Linked DNA regions of Oryctolagus cuniculus. The protein of the gene in region 1 interacts with the protein of each later gene in a biochemical or structural test. Links are inferred from orthologs where the notes say so. Each region holds a gene or a part of one and is shown on either strand. Other genes may lie near its edges.

Region 1 (8,180 bases):
CAACATCACCTCCAACATGATTCAAAAACTATTTGTGCCAAGGAATAGCTGTACAACTGAGGACAGAAGCAAAGAATGCAACCTCTACTTTTAAATCCACAAACTATTAAAATGCTTTTATTCTCGAAGTTATGCAAAACTCCCCCTTCCACCTCCCACCTCCAAATCAGCTAGAAAGTGATCTTAAATGCTCCACCAAATTCATATACTAATGATGATTGTGTTTTTAGTAGAACAATATCCAGGCAATCAGGTTAGTCCTGTTAATGCCAGCACAGCACACACTCCTGTCACACCCATGTGCTCTGCCCTACCATTCTACATTTTAAGATGGGGCATCACAAGAAGCACCACAATCTCACATCTTTCCCTTTTCCATCCCTCTCTCACAATCCCGTGAGTTTTATTTAAAAGTATGGAACTGTGGCAGCATGGTCAGCATATACCGTTCCACAGCCTTCTCTGTGCATAAAGCACACAGAAAAACAGAGCTGTCTCCGTGTCTGCTGCTGGCACTTAAAAAAAAAAAAAAAAAAAAAAAAAAAAAAAAAAAAAACACAGCTTTCCCAGCGTTGCTGTTTTTTACAAAATAGTATCTTATTCCTGCAACTGAAGTACAATTAAAGGGACAGACAGGACAGATGCAAGTACAGTCTGATTTTCAGCTGAACTATATCAGTGGAATGAGATGTCATTTTCTAAACGTGATGCCCAGTCAGCAATTGAACTGTCAATCACTGGGTGCCACTGAAGTTTTTCCTAATGCCTATGTCATATTGTCATTCTACAGGTGCATAAAACAAGACAGCATGTAATTCTTACATTACCATCTTAACTGTTATAACAATTCTGAGCTAAGTCTGATTGGGAGAAGAGTAAAAATGAGGTTCCTGTTTTCATTCTCAAACATGAGCTCTTTCCTACATTATTACAGGATAATCAAGAAATTGATTGAATTCCAATAATCTAATTTTTAGATGTCACAAAGATTAAGTTGCTACTTATTTACTCTTCAGTTTCAACTATCACACAACTTAATACTGCAAAACATACCATTATGAATTATTCTCTCTGGTAATAACATTTTTGATCCAAAAAAGCTTTACATGAGGGGCAGGCATTGTGGCATGACAAGTTATGTTGCTGCTTAGAATGCCAGCATCCCATGATGGTGTTACTTCACTTCCTATTCAGCTTCCTGCTAATGTGCCTGGGAAGGCAACAGATAATGGCCCAAGTATTTGGGTCTCTGCCATTCAAATGGGAGACCTGAATGGAACTCCTGGCTCCTGGCTTCAGTATGGCTCAGCTCTGGATGTTTCAGGCAAGTGAACCAGCAGATAGAAGGTGTGTGTGTACACATGTGTGTCTTTCTCTCTCTTCCTCTATCACTCTGCCTTTCAAATAAGTAAATCTTTTTTACAAAAAAGCTTTATATAAGGAAACAATTTAAGTGCTACTCACTGGCTTATTTTCCTCTTTTACAAATTTTCTATTTAAACATTGAACCTAGACAAATAGCTAAATTTTTTCAAAAGTTTGTCAAAAGGATTCATTACTAATATTTTAACTGAAACTGCCATAAGTTGGTAGCCCCTTACTTTCTGTTTTGAGTAAAAGATCACATGATTCTAAAGAAGGAATTATAATAATATTAACATTAGGTAATAACACATAAACCTGATGTGAACGAAAAAGAAACCGATTTTACCATAGCAAGTAAGGATTTCAACACTCATATACCAATTTAAACTTGGAATAAATACTTTAACTCAACAAAAATTACTTTTTTAGAAAATCAACTTTTAATTTCTGTAAGAATCTTCACATGCAAAATGAAGGCTCTTAGTATTATTACTATCATTTTTAATGTAAGGTTTACCGGAAAAAAACATTATTTATGAAAAAGTTTTAAGTATGCGACAGAAACTAAAAACTGATATTGAAAATACTTAAAATGTTTAAGTCACAATTTACTCCAAAAAGTATACTCATTGTTTTTAAGTAAGTTACCATGAAACTATTATAACTTAGTTTCAAATGTGAGGCTTTTGAATTTCAAATTATTTTTTAAGACTTTAATGAAAAGCCTGGAAATAAAAACCTTTAGTTTAATGCTAATATAAATCTAACATTTGTAGGTATAGAAAAATTAGAATTAGTGCAATTTTAGACTGGAAAGTTAAATATAATTGCCAATAACTGCTGTCTGATGAATTTCAAGGCAACTTATCCTATATGAAACTTTTTTTAAAAAGTTAACTCATCTACAGTTGCATCTCAGCACTTTCTCAATTTTCCCATTACAATTAACAATGTAACTCAGCGGTCAAGTCTTCCAGACCAATAACCTCAGAATTTATTTTTAACTCCTGACTTGTTCACAAATAGTCCCCTTCAGTCCAATCCAAAACCCTGCCAGTTCTTCTTCACACCATCTCTCAAATCTGTTCCTTTCATCCCATTTTCAGTTTATTTTATTCCCTCATGATTCACAACATACACTAGCATCTCCCTAAAGGGCTCTAATATAGTTCTACTCTAATTCAACTTAGCTGCCCAAATCATCTTCAAATACCTTGTTCAGGGGTGGGTGTTTGGTACAACTCACATCCCACATGGCAGGGCCAGTTCTAGTCCCAGCTCCTCTGCTTCCTGCTAATGCACATCCAAGGAGGCAGCAGATGAAAGCTTAAGGACTTGGGTTTCTACCACCCAAGTGGAAGACTCAGACTGAGTTCCAGCTCCTGCCTTAGGCCTGGTCCAGCCCTGGCTGTTGTGACCATTTGTGGAGTGAAGCAGCAGATGAGAAGATCTGTCTCTCTGCCTTTCCAATAAAATTAAAATAAATAAAGTTTATAAAAAAAAAAAACTGTTCAGAGCTCTCATGAATGTCAAACTTTTTCAGACCCCTTGCCCTCTGTCAGCTATCCTTCCAATATTTCTCAAATTTTACCTGTTATTTTCCTACTTAGGCTTTTATAATTCAGATTTACCAGCTTATTTATTGCCTCTCCTACAAAACTCACCATCTCTGTGCCTGGAGTCCTTTCACCTAGAATCTTTCATGCTTCTCCACCAATTCAAGACACAGCCTTCTTTAACACCTGTCTTAAAAGCACACCTTCTCTACAGGAAGCCTTCTCCCTCCAATGCATGTCTCACCCCTTTATTCTTTGTCCCTCTGAACAAAGGATTCAATTTGTATTTTGCCTTGCAGTCGTAATGCCATTGTTTTCATTGTTTTTCCCATAAATTGCCTCTACTACTAAGTGACCAGCTTTTTTTGAAGCCAAGGACTATAATTTCATATGTATCTCTTTTGAACATGGGTCCTGAAAACACCAGCACCTAACAAATGCCTAATGACTCCCCTTTCTTCTAAATATCCCTAAAGCTAGGCTTATCAAAAATGCATATTCAGCAATAAATTCCAACTTTTTAAATATTAAGTTGAAGGACATGATAACAGAAAATCAAACATTTTAACCTACATACTTTACAAAAATCACACCATTCTTGGTCAACATGTATGCCATCAAGAATTAAGGAGTCATCTTCAAAGAAAATCCTAGAAACAAAATATAAAATCCCAGAATTTAGCATTATACACTAGCATTATAGATCTCTGAAATACATCTAATAATTATATTCCTAAAACTGACTTTCAGTGTTTTTTAATTATTACCAAGATGTAAAACATACAATCACTGCAGTATCACAAGAGGCTCTTAATTAGCTATTGTAATATTTGCTTCATCATAGCTAAAAATTACCCCCAGAATAAAAAACTTCTTTCAAATGACCCCATGAAGGGCTTAGAAAGCATGACCCTTCTCTAAAAAGATGCATAATCAGCTTCCCTCTTTACATACTCTGCATTCTCTACTAGCTAGTCACTGAAAAAAAAATTAACTCAAAAATAATCTCCCATTCAGCTATTACCTTGGACTATCCTGTTTCAGGCAAGTTCCAAAAGCCAAAGTGATTGGAATCTTGAGTTCAATTAAAAGTAAACATTTTATATTGCTTAAGGATGTAATCAAGTCCACATAACAGAATCTACTGTTTAAGGCTCTTCAGTTCTCTTAGCTCCTCTAGGCAACAAAATAGTTTGCCCTCTTCATGCCCCTTTCTCAGAGAATAAGGAAACAATATAAACATTTTTTTTTGTCAAAATCTGGAAGTATATTTAAATAACCTGCCATTAATTGCCACACAAACCCCTTCACAAACAGAGCTCTGTGGGATCACTGGATACTTAGTATAACAAACACCTCAAGAAAACAGACTTTGTGAAAGTACAGTCTGGTAACAACCCTGAGACCACATCCCAGACAGCCCTACCATTTCCAGAAGGACAACCTTCTGCAAAAACTATGATGGAAAGGACTAAATCTATGTTCCTCTAACTAAATTCAATCTTATCTACAAGAAAACTGATGCAAGGATATTTTAAGTATTCCTAAAAAGGAATCCTCTGTACTCTAGAATATTTTAACAAGTAACAAATGCAACAGCACGTCAAAATTGAACTTAAATGACAATGAGTCAGTGACAATTAACATTTAACTTAGTATCTGGCATTATGACAACATACGCCTCAATCAAAACTTGGACCTCCTTCCAAGTTACCTTTTGATTAAACAAATTATATGGTGGCAGATTGGTAATGCCAAAACAGGAAGGTTAAGAGATAACAGATTAAACCACTTATCCAATTCAAGACAATGTATTTGGAGATGCTACTGCTGCTGGATATTTATCTGTTCCCATCAGCCCCTTGTAAAGGGAGGGAGCGATGATCACCTCCACACATGAATGCTGGTTACTGAGCAAGTTCATCCCCAGGTTAAGAACAAATACTTTGTATAGTTACACCAGCACGAAGAGAAACGTTAGGAGACTGGGACATTTCATGTCTCCATGAAGTACACAAAGCTGTGATAACCCGAGACTTGAGCTAACCAGAATTTCCTCCCTCGTTCCAAAAGACAAACACTCTGCAAATGCACATAATGGTTTATGAGTCGTTTAGTCCTCTTTATTCAAAAGGGTCGGCAAGCAAACGCTTCCATCACAATTTCCAAGTGGAAACACCCAAGCACTGGATAAAGGCGACCATCAGTAGCAAGGAAAGCACAAGAAACGTTTCAAATCGAATCATCGAAATAAAAATCGTACTCTCTGAACTCAAGGTTAATGAGACCGAGGGAGGGGGTTATGGGAGGAGAAAAGAGGGAGCTGCCTCATCCTCGACTGAAGACAGGTCTTGCTCTTTTCCATTAGCTCTGGTGAGTGTTCCATCAGGTCTAGTATGTTAAGGTTCTAGGACTTCGAGGTTGCTTATTTTAGGGGTGAGACGGAGAAGGGGTGTAAAATAAAATCAATACTCACTGCTAACTTTCATGCTGCCAAAAGCTGAAGGCTGCTGCACTGGCTTGCAGCTCTCCGCAAAGGAGGTGGTTCTGGGCCGCCCTGACATGATCACTCTCTTCCCGAATCACCTTTTCCTTCCTTCCTCCTTTTCTTCCTTTTGTTTTATATTGGGGTGTTAGGTTAATGATAAATGCAGCATTAAGTTCTCCCACAAGAAAGGAAAAAAAAAGACTTCGTCCTCTTGGCTTTTCACTTCTTTTGTATAGCTATATTAAAAAAAAAAAAAAAAAAAAAAAAAACACGAGCGATGTATTCTCCTTCAAGACGGATCCGTACGGATATTTAACATATAGATGATTTGGGGCTGGGGGAGGGGAAAAAAAAAACACAATTCTTTCCCCTCCCTTTCCTGGGAGGGGGGACTCCTTAAAAAAAATCACGTGAAATGGGGACAAATACTTGATTGAAAATAAGTACTTTGGATTTTATATTTTCCTCGGGGATTTTTTTCCGAGTCAATGAAGAAGGGAAGCGGCGGAAGGATCACGAGTCTCACGCTTGAAGAGAAGGGGGGATGGGAAGGAGGGAGGGAGAGGGAGGGGGCGGCTCGGAGATGCGACGGGAAACGCTGCGGCTCCGGCAGCGGCGGGATCCGGCGGGGGCCCGGCGTCCTGGAGGGCGGCGGCGTCGCGAGTCAGTCAGAGGCGGGCGGCGGCGGCGGCTCCTCTCCTCATTGCGCCAGGAGCAGCTGCAGGCGGCGGCTGGATCCAGCGGCCATGGCGGCGGCGGTGGCGGAGGCAGCTCCCTTCAGACCCCAGGCAGCGGCTCCTCGACTGCTCCCCATACGCCGGGGACATGGGAACCCGGCAACCGCTTCCGTCTCCCTCGGGGCCCCCTCCCCCGTCCAAAGCACCAGCGCGGCCGCCCTCACGCCCCGCGCCTCAGCTCCGTGTCCGCTGAGGAAGTGTCCGTGCTGTGCCCCCAGTCCGGAGCCCTGTCAGCGGCTGCGGGGCCGGCTCCTCCTCGCTTCCTTCCTTCCTTTGTCACTCGGCCCGGGCGGCGGCGGCGGCAGCGGCAGCGGCAGCACAAACCCGCATTCGCCCGGGTCGGGGGCTGCTCTGTGTGAGGAGCTCCGTCTGCGCAGCCGCCTAGCGCCTTCCCCCCTCCCCCTCCCTCTCCCCGCCTCCTACTCGTCCTCCGCCTCCTTCCTCCCCCACCCAGCCTTATACCGCCCCGCGCCCCGCCGCCCGCGTAACAGGCGTCTGGGAATCGCCGGCCGAGCCCAACGCCCGCCCTCTTCGGCGGCGGAGCCGAACCCCCAGCGAAGCCAATCACGGGCGTCGTTTCTTTACGGCTCCTCCCGGAAAAAGCCGATCGGCCTGAAGAGCCAATTAGAATGGGCCCCCGGGAAGCCTCGCCTAGAGAGCGGAAAATGCCGAAGGCATCCGAACGGAAAGAAGGTGGATTCGGCTTGTTCTGTGGCTGGCTGGAGGACAAATTAGACGAGGGCAACAGGGGCCAATCACAGTCGTCGCCCTCGCGAATAAGCATTAAAGAGTTAAGGACGGTGAAACCCAGAGTCGCTGGTGAAGCTGCAGGGCTGCGAGTTGGGGCTGCTTCGTAATTGGCTGGAAAACTCCGCTGGGAGTGAACCTCCCTCGATGATTGGCGAAGGGCAGGGGGCTTCCGAGGACATGTGGCCAGTCAGAAGACCTCCCCCCTCGCCAAGGTGGGGCGAGGAAAGCGGAGGGAGGATGTCTATAAGGTGCCGTCTCATTGGCCGGAAGCTTTGGAGCCGGGAGGGGTGGCGAAAGAGAAAGGGAGGGAGGCCGAAACCCTTAGCGGTGGCCAATGGGCCCTGACTGCCATCCAATCGCAAGACCTAGCTGCAGCGTGATTGGCGTTTGGCCTTCGGCGGCGGTCCCAGGAGCTGAGAGAAGCTTGACTGGGCTGCGGCGGACTTGTGTGTCGGGCTCGCTTGTGGCTGCTCCCGACCGGTGTGGAAACCGCAGTTAAGGAAGCACGAGCCCTCCCCTCAGCCGTCCGAAACTGCTGCGGTCGGCGGGGCCGGTTTCTGAGGCGCGCTCAAATGAGCAGAGGGTCCAGGGGCTCCCCCCGCCCACGAGAGGCTCTCCGCGGGGCGCGGCTGGCTCTGCCCTCAGCCCGAGATCGCGCCTGCCGAGTGTCAGCGGCGTCTTTCCTGAAAGGGCCTGACGGACGAAGGGGTCTCCCCAGCGGGGTGCGAGCCCTCAGATGCTAAAGTACGAACAAAGCTTCCAGAGAGGTAGCGCCTATGGGCGGCCGCGCCTCGCCCTGTCCGGGGCCATTGACAGAGTGGGGTTCACTGTGGTTGGTGCGCGCGCCCGGGCCGGGCCTTCTGGAAACGCCCCCCGAAAGATGAGCTCATGCTGGATGCGCGCGCTCCTTGGGCGCGACCGCCCGGCTCAGAACTGGCCCCGAAAGCAGGTGAGGGGAAATGCGGTCAAGCCGGATTTCCTGAAGCCTCCGAGGCAACGGGGAGTCGGAAGAGCCCATAGTAGCTTTGGGTCTTTGGGAGCCTCACTGAACTATAGAAGTGGTTTCGGAGAAGGCCTCACACATAAACCAGTGTCTATTGTTCTGCCAGAGAAGCAGTTCCTTTCGTCCAGTAAGGTGGGGCTGTGTTAGGACAGCAGAGAACGTAGAGGGGGCAGTTGCCATCCCGACTGTAATCCAGTGGCGCCTGTCATTTCCACCTGCAGAGTCATCCCTTTCTGTTAAGATGCTATCTCCAGAAAGCACCTGTGAAAGAACCCATACTT
Region 2 (8,080 bases), on another chromosome or scaffold:
TCCCAATGCTACTTTCTTACTAACGTGGACCCTGGGAGGCAGCAGATGATGGCTCGAGTGCCTGGGTCTCTGCCACCCATGTGCAAGACCCGGACTGACTTCCTGGCTCCAGGTCTGGCCATTGCAGGCATTTGGAGAGTGATCTAGCAGATGGTAGCGTTCTCTCTCCTTCCCTCTCTCTCTTTTTCTCCCTTTCAAAAAGAAATAAAAACTGGACCTGCATATACAATAGTTTTGAGAAAGATTTCCACCCACATTTGTTGAAGAAAAAAAATCCATATACAAGCCATTTGATATTTTCCCCTCCAGTGTTAAAGGCTGATTGGCAGAACATTATTTTCAAAGATTATCTTGCCAAAAGGATATAGAGCCAGTACATTCTTTAATATATTCTAGTTCACACCCTCACATAGCAATATGGAGCACAGAAGAATGTATTTGAAGCATTATTTTTCAAATGCCAACTTCTCCTAAGATGCCAATTCTATAACTTTAATTGTTCAAAATACATCTCAGCTCAGATGCTAGGGCACTAAGATGCCATTGCTGTGTATCAGGCGTGGTGCTGGGGCTCGGACAAATCAGAGAGCGGTGCTGAGCACAGGGAGAGAAGTGGATGCGGACACAGCTGCCTAGGCTGTGCCAGGAAACGCACCATCCCCTGGCGACAAAGAATTGACTGAGACACGGATGCAGCTGTCACTGGGCCTGCAGGCTGGGGACAGCTGGGAAGGGGTCAAAGGGTTTGGCCCTGAGGAAGTAAGAGAGCTGGTGGAGGTGCAGTGGGGGCATGGGCATGGGGCTGGCAGCTGCCAGCAGGAGCTGGGCGAGAAAGGCACAGGTGGGGGCAATGAGCCCCCTTTCTGCGGCCTGGACTGCTCACGGGTGGCCGTACTTTTATAAAGTGCACCAGCCTCACCAAAATGGGTCCCTAGGAAGGTCGCTGTGACAGCAGGGAGGGGACACACCGCAGAGGCACTGGAGAGCATCAGCGCGACTCTGAGATGGACAAACGGACCACAGGTGAGGGACACTGAGAACGCCAGCTCCTGGGATTTCAGCACATGGTGATCACGGGGCTCAGCAAGAAAATTCGGAGAGGAGGCAGTTGGCTGGTGAGGGAGTGATAATTAGCTCTATTTTTGATGTGTGATGTTCCAGGAAGCTTTCCTAAGAGCAGCCGTGGCACACGTTTCATTTGTACTCACGGTTTTGCACAATGCACCGGATGAGATGAGCCCCACACCAACGCCCAGGGTGGACGTGGGTGTTAGCGTTACCACGGCACCCACGTGTGCATTCGGAAACAGGGGTGGGTGACTTGGTCCAGGCTTCCCAGCACGTGGGGGAACCCAGACTGCAACCAGGCCAGCTGACCCCAGGCCCCTGCACCAGCTTTTCTGGTGAGGGAATCTGGAAAACAGAGGGACCACTTCCTCCACGGAGGCCCAGGAGGAGAGGGAGGGTGCAGAGAGAAACAGCCTCCGTGTGGCAGGAGGTGAGCCACCCGCTGGGTAAGGACCAGCAGGGAATGAGGAAGGGATCTGAGGGAGAAGGATGGGCTTGGAAGAGAGGCTGTGGGCACGAGGGTGTCAACAAGCACCACACAGCCCTGACGACCCCAAGCAACGGCAGGGTGTGACAAGGACAAGATCACCACTCGTCAGTGCTGTCAGCACACCAGAAGCCTGGGTGTGCTTGCAATCCAGAGGCCAGCAGGGCAGACACACAGCAAGGCAAGCTGGGACTGATCCCTGCGCACACCTGTCCCCTGGCAGGCGGGACAGTTCCACGGGGCGTCTCCAGCAGGGATGCAGACCCCAGCACCGACAAGATCATTACCTTCAAAGAGAGCGCGAGGCGGTCCCGGAGGTAGTTCTCTTCTGTTTTCGCCTTTTCGATTTCCTGCTCAAGTTCTCCACGCTGCTTGCCCACCTGCTGCAGGATCTGCTCCCTCTCTCTTTGCAGTTCATTCTTTAGAGTGGTTATGCGCTCCTTGTACTCTTCATCCAGTTTCCTGCGAGGAGGGAAAGTCGAGAAGCTACCATCAAATCCCTCCCTGGTCCCTCCAAGCAGCTGCCAAAGATGGAAGCTTAGTCAGAGAGGCAGACGCCCTCCTGCAAATACCTAGGGTGTCCTGCTTTCTCTTAGGCTTGGCCACAGCTAAACCACCAGAGCTAGCGGCGGCCAAGCAGGCACAGCGCCCCCTGCCTTTGCGGCCCTGTAGCTGCAGGCGCCCCCGCGCGAGCCAGGGCGGTGGGAAGGGGAGGAGGAGTCGCCCTAGGGGTCGCACCTGAGGTTGTACTCATTCCGCCTCTCGATGGCCGCGTGGTGATCGTCCACCTCCGAGGCCATGAGGGACTTGAGCTTCTCAGCCTTGTCCAGGTCTGATCGCAGCTTCTCTTTCTCTCGGACCACCTGATCCACTCGTTCTCTGGAATCAGAAACAAACGGAGTTAACGGGAAACGGTTTCTAGGCAGCAGAGGGATCTGAAAAAGCTCTCCTCTGGCTTGCTTCAGTGTGAGGCCAAAACCAAGACAACCCAAACTCTCCCCAACAAAGGGGCCTTCCACAGCCTGCGCGCCAGTCTAAGCTCCGCCTCCCTTTCCTACTGTGGTAGGAAGATCTGTTCCTAGTTCAGTGAGAGAAGATTAGCCACAGGTGCACCCAGAATGGAAGAACAGAACAGGGGACTTTGCTGAGAGCATCTGATGGACTCGATGGGCAAGCAGGCAAAGGGATGGGGCAGGCAAACCTGCTCAACTCACAACAAGTGCCGGATCTCAGCCTTGAAGCTGGCCAGAGCCGCCTGGTGGACGCCGTTCTTGGTGACCAAAAGTTCATTTTCAAGAGCCAGTGTCAGTTCTGTCAGGTTGACGTTTCCATCAAGGCTGAAATCCAAGGCCTAAAAATCAGAACAGAAGTTCAAGAAAAAATGACAAGTTCTATCCTCCGAAAGCAGAGAACGTGAAGGTCATACAAACTCAGGGGACTAAGTACAATCTAGATTGGGATGGGTGCATTTCTTTAGTGACTGCTTAAGAATAATCTTTAGGGGCCATGCCATGGCATAGTGGGTAAAGTTGCTGCCTGCATTGCCGGCATCCCTTATGGCCACAGGTTCAAGCCCTGGCTGCTCCACTTCAATCCAGCTCTCTGCTACAGCCTGGGAAAGCAGTGGAAGATGGCCCAAGTCCTTGGGCCCCAGCACCCTCATGGGAGACCCAGAAGAAGCTCTTGGCTCCTGGCTTTGGATTGGCACAGCTCTGGCCGTTGCGGCCAACTAGGGAGTGAACCAGCAGATGGAAGACCTCTCTCTCTCTCTCTCTCTCTCTCTCTGTAACTTTGACTTTCAAGTAAATAAATAAATCTTTAAAGAAAAAAAGAACAATCTTCACTCTAGAATTTAATGAAGTTCTCTTTAAGCAGAGTATATATAATATGGCTATCAGTTATTTCCATGTAATAAAACAATGTCCAGTACTGTCACTCAAAACGATGGTATAATTCTAGTCTGTTCCAAGTAGAGATAGTTAAGAACATTTCTCACATCAATAATTTTGGGGTTACAAATAGGGCAAGTAATTAGCCACAGATGACTCACTCAAGGTAGGAAAAGTCACTTACCTGCTGATCTCTGAGATCTTGTGAACAGAAGAATCAAGAAGTAAAATCAAGTCAGATCACAGAGTCCCGGAAAGAACTGGAGACTTTCAACCCTCCCCCAGCCTGCCACTCTCCTCCCGTTTGGGGGCCAGACCTTCAGGATCTCCTGGCTGTTCTCGATGCCCTCCTCCTGCCAGGCGTCCAGGATTCTCTCCACAGAGGCCTGGCCCATGCCGTCATCCAGGCTGGAGAAGACCCGGAAGCCAACGGTGCCCGTCTTGCTGGAGGGGGTGGTGGTGCGCCGGCCGCTCTCATCAAAGGACTACAAGAGGAAAAGGGACCGCAGCAAGCTGAGCCCGGCTCTGAGCATCTCGACAAGCTGCCGGGCGAGCCCGGGCGTGGCCAGTGCTGACCAGGACGAGCACGACTGCCGGCCACTGCTAGTGAGCAAGGGCACGCGGCCGCTGTGCGCTCTGCTCCGGGCCAGGCAGGCTCACGGAGCTCCTCAGGGGGTGCTGTGACTTAGACAACATGTGCTTCTACTGAGGGCTTCTTCAGGCCCAGAGCTGACACCAACAGGCCTGTGTAGTGGCCTAGGCTCATTTAGGATCATTCCTCAGCCCACACTCCCCTTCCTGATAGTTGAGTCTGTCTGACTCTTTACGCATCACACGGCACGTCACCTCCCTGGCAATGATCCAAACAGGTTCGCCTTTCACAGCCGCCTTCTGGCATTTTTACCTGCATGGAGAGGTGCCTTTTCAGCTGTCTGTACGGAGTCGATGCGGAGGGCGTAAGGGACTTCCCGTGTTTAAACAAACCGTAGAAAAAGTCTTCCACACTCATGGTGCCTTCAGGGTCAAGGTTATGGAATGCTTCCTCGAGCGTCTAGAAAAGAGCAACCACGCATTTTACGCAGAATAACACAAAGCACACTCCTGGCCAACAGAAGTCAGCACCGGTGTGGCGCCCACAAGTCCATACGCTCGGCTACTACGTCCCTTTACTCTCACTTGACTGAGTTTACTGTCTCTTGCCACCTCAGACCAACGACGTGAACGTCCATTTGCAGCATCTTCCTTATCTTATGCAATTTAGTCATTGCTTTCTCTTACACTTCAACAGATGTCTTAAATTTTGCTACCTATTATTATAAATTAAAAAAGTAACTTTGAGCCGGCGCCGTGGCTCAATAGGCTAATCCTCCACCTTGCGGCGCCGGCAAACCGGGTTCTAGTCCCGGTTGGGGCGCCGGATTCTGTCCCGGTTGCCCCTCTTCCAGGCCAGCTCTCTGCTATGGCCAGGGAGTGCAGTGGAGGATGGCCCAGGTGCTTGGGCCCTGCACCCCATGGGAGACCAGGAAAAGCACCTGGCTCCTGGCTCCTGCCAGGATCAGCGCGGTGCGCCGGCTGCAGCGGCGGCCATTGGAGGGTGAACCAGCGGCAAAGGAAGACCTTTCTCTCTCTGTCTCTCTCTCTCACTGTCCACTCTGCCTGTCAAAAAAAAAAAAAAAAAAAAAAAAAAAAAGTAACTTTAAAATATCAAGATTTAGCTTCCCAGTGTCAACAATAGAAACATTCATTATTTTTTTTAAAGATTTATTTATTTATTTGAAAGTCAGAGTTACACAGAGAGAGGCAGAGAGAGAGAGAGAAAGGTCTTCCATCCACTGGTTCACTCCCCAATTAGCTGCAATGGCCAGAACTGTGCTGATCCAAAGCCAAGGACCAGGAGTTTCTGGGTCTCCCATTCGGGTACAGAGGCCCAAGGACTTGGGCCATCTTCTACTGCTTTCCCAGGCCACAGCAGAGAGCTGGATTGGAAGTGGAGCAGCCAGGTCTTGAACTGGAGCCCATATGGGATGCCGGCACTGCAGGCAGCAGCTTTACCTGCCATGCCACAGCGCCAGCCCCTCATTATTCTTTTATACTGCAGTGCCCCTAGGTGATACATGGCATCCACACAGTTTTTTTTTTTTTTTTTTTTTTTTTTTTTTTTTTTTTTACAGGCAGAGTGGACAGAGAGACAGATAGAAAGGTCTTCCTTTTTCCGTTGTTCACCCCACAATGGCCACTGGGGCTGGCACACCGCGCTGATCTGAAGCCAGGAGCCAGGTGCTTCTCCTGGTCTCCCATGCAGGTGCAGGGCCCAAGGACTTGGGCCATCCTCCACTGCACTCTCGGGCCACAGCAGAGAGCTAGACTAGAAGAGGGGCAACCGGGACAGAATTCGGCACCCCGAAACAGGACTAGAACCCGGTGTGCCGGTGCTGCAGGCGGAGGATTAGCCTATTGAGCTGTGGCGCCGGCCCCTTATTCTTCTTTTATACTGTGATGCCACCAGGTGATAAGTGGCATCTATGCAGTTTTGAAACCTGTGGGCTGACACAGCAGAGCGACGTGGTTTCAGACAGATGGCAAAGACTGAAGAGTTCGGGTCTTAAGCCCCTAACTAGGGCCTCAGGACACCACAGGGTGTGTCTGGGTTTTGTTCCAATGCTTTGGCTCAAGAGAAACAGACTGGATGAGGAGGCTTTTGTGTGCAACTGGTGGGCTCCAGGAGCTGTAGCCAAGGGGGCTTAGACAGCTGTCCTGCACCCTCTGCCCACAATCTAGCAGTTGTCATTACAGAACAGGGCACAGGGAGACTGAACACAGTCCCACCCAGAGGCTGGCCTGAGACAGTCTGTTCCCCAGCCCCACAGAGGAATAGGAAGGGGGACGGAGCACAGTGAGTCGCTGAAGCTACCAGCAGAAAGGGACAGCAAACCCGCACCCTGGCAGGCGGAGCCTCCGTATCTCAGGGGTGAACATGTCTGTCCGTGAACGGGCCTCCCCTGCACGGAGCAGAAATCACCTGGCATCTCTTGAATGCAGACTCTGCTCTGCTCAGTCTGGGCTGGGCCTCTGAGTCTGTGTGTCTTTCTTTCTTTTTAAATATTTATTTATTTATTTGAATGGCAGAGTTACAGGCAGAGGCAGGGAGAGAGATGTCTTCTATCCACTGGTTCACTCCCTAAATGGACACAATGGCCAGAGATGAGCTGATCTGAAGCCAGAAGCCAGGAGCTTCCTCCATCTCCTGTGTGGGTAGAGGAGCCCAAGGACTCAGCCCATCCTCTGCTGCCTTCCCAGGCACATCAGCAGAGAGCTAGATCGGAAGTGGAGCAGCCAGGACTTGAACCAGCACTCACATGGGATGCCGACACTGCAGGCAGCGGCTTTACCTTTTTTTTTTTTTTTTTTAAGATTAATTTTATTTGAAAGGCAGAGAGAATGAATAAATGAGAGACAGAGAAAAATATTTTCCATCTATTGGTCCCCAAAAGACCACAATACCCAGGGCTGTGCCAGGCTGAAGCCAGAAGCCAGAAACTCCACCCGGGTCTCCCAAGCACTTGGGCCATCTTCCACTGTTTTCCCAGGCCATAGCAGAGAGCTGGATCGGAAGAGGAGTAGCCGGGACTAGAACCTGTGCCTATATGGGATGCTGGCACTACAGGCCAGGGCTTTAACTCGCTGTACCACAGCTCCGGCCCCAGGTACTATTCTTTTTTTTTTTTTTTTTTACAGGCAGAGTGGACACAGAGAGAGAGAGAGACAGAGAGAAAGGTCTTCCTTTTGCCGTTGGTTCACCCTTCAATGGCCACTGTGGCCGGCGTACCGCGGCCGGCACACTGCGCTGATCCGAAGGCAGGAGCCAGGTGCTTCTCCTGGTCTCCCATGGGGTGCAGGGCCCAAGCACTTGGGCCACAGCAGAGAGCTGGCCTGGAAGAGGGGCAACTGGGACAGAATCCGATGCCCCGACCTGGACTAGAACCTGGTGAGCCGCCGCCGCAAGGCGGAGGATTAGCCTATTGAGCCGTGGTGCTGGCCTCAGGTACTATTCTTTTAAAACTTATTTATTTTATTCATTTGAAAGGCATAGTGGGGCTGGCATTGTGGCACAGTGGGCTAAGTCACAGCCTGTGATGCCAGCATCCTATATGAGCACCAGTTTGAGTCCTGGATGCTCCATGTCCAATCCCTGCTGATGCTCCTTGGAAAGAAACAAATGATGGTCTGAGAGCTTGGGTACTGGCCACCCATGTGAAAGACCCGGATGGAGTTCCAGGCTCCTGGCTTCAGCCTGGTCTAGTCCCAGCAATTATAGACATTTGAGGAGTGAACCAGTGGCTGGAATACCCCTTTCTGTCTCTTCTTCTCTCTTTGTAACTCTGCCTTTGAAATAAACAAATCTTTTTTTTTTTTTTTGACTGTGACTTTTTTAAAATTTTTTAAATTTTTTAACTTTTATTTAATGAATATAAATTTCCAAAGTACAGCTTATGGATTACAATGGCTCCCCCCGTCCCCGGAAATAAACAAATCTTTAAAAATAAAGTAAAAGAGTGAACGAGAGAGAGAGAGAGGAGAGAGGAGAGAGAGAGAGGAGAGAGAGAGGAGAGAGAGAGGAGAGAGAGAGGAGAGAGAG

What was found.
Region 2: of the proteins of GSK3B (region 1) and NIN, one has a biochemical effect on the other in vitro, tested with the Homo sapiens proteins (2 studies listed by BioGRID and IntAct). The link is inferred for Oryctolagus cuniculus from reciprocal best matches to the Homo sapiens genes GSK3B and NIN.

What each region holds. Positions count from the first base shown.
Region 1 is NC_091435.1:76,545,285-76,553,464, forward strand, and holds the start of GSK3B (glycogen synthase kinase-3 beta), read right to left. Parts: upstream 5,537-8,180; 5' UTR 5,486-5,536; coding exon 5,398-5,485; intron 1-5,397. Other genes in the region: transcription factor SOX-4, read left to right, coding at 5,898-6,881. UniProt on the Homo sapiens protein: Constitutively active protein kinase that acts as a negative regulator in the hormonal control of glucose homeostasis, Wnt signaling and regulation of transcription factors and microtubules, by phosphorylating and inactivating glycogen synthase (GYS1 or GYS2), EIF2B, CTNNB1/beta-catenin, APC, AXIN1, DPYSL2/CRMP2, JUN, NFATC1/NFATC, MAPT/TAU and MACF1.
Region 2 is NC_091443.1:25,410,384-25,418,463, reverse strand, and holds part of NIN (ninein), read right to left. Parts: intron 4,496-8,080; coding exon 4,349-4,495; intron 3,930-4,348; coding exon 3,762-3,929; intron 2,907-3,761; coding exon 2,770-2,906; intron 2,435-2,769; coding exon 2,294-2,434; intron 2,018-2,293; coding exon 1,843-2,017; intron 1-1,842. UniProt on the Homo sapiens protein: Centrosomal protein required in the positioning and anchorage of the microtubule minus-end in epithelial cells. May also act as a centrosome maturation factor.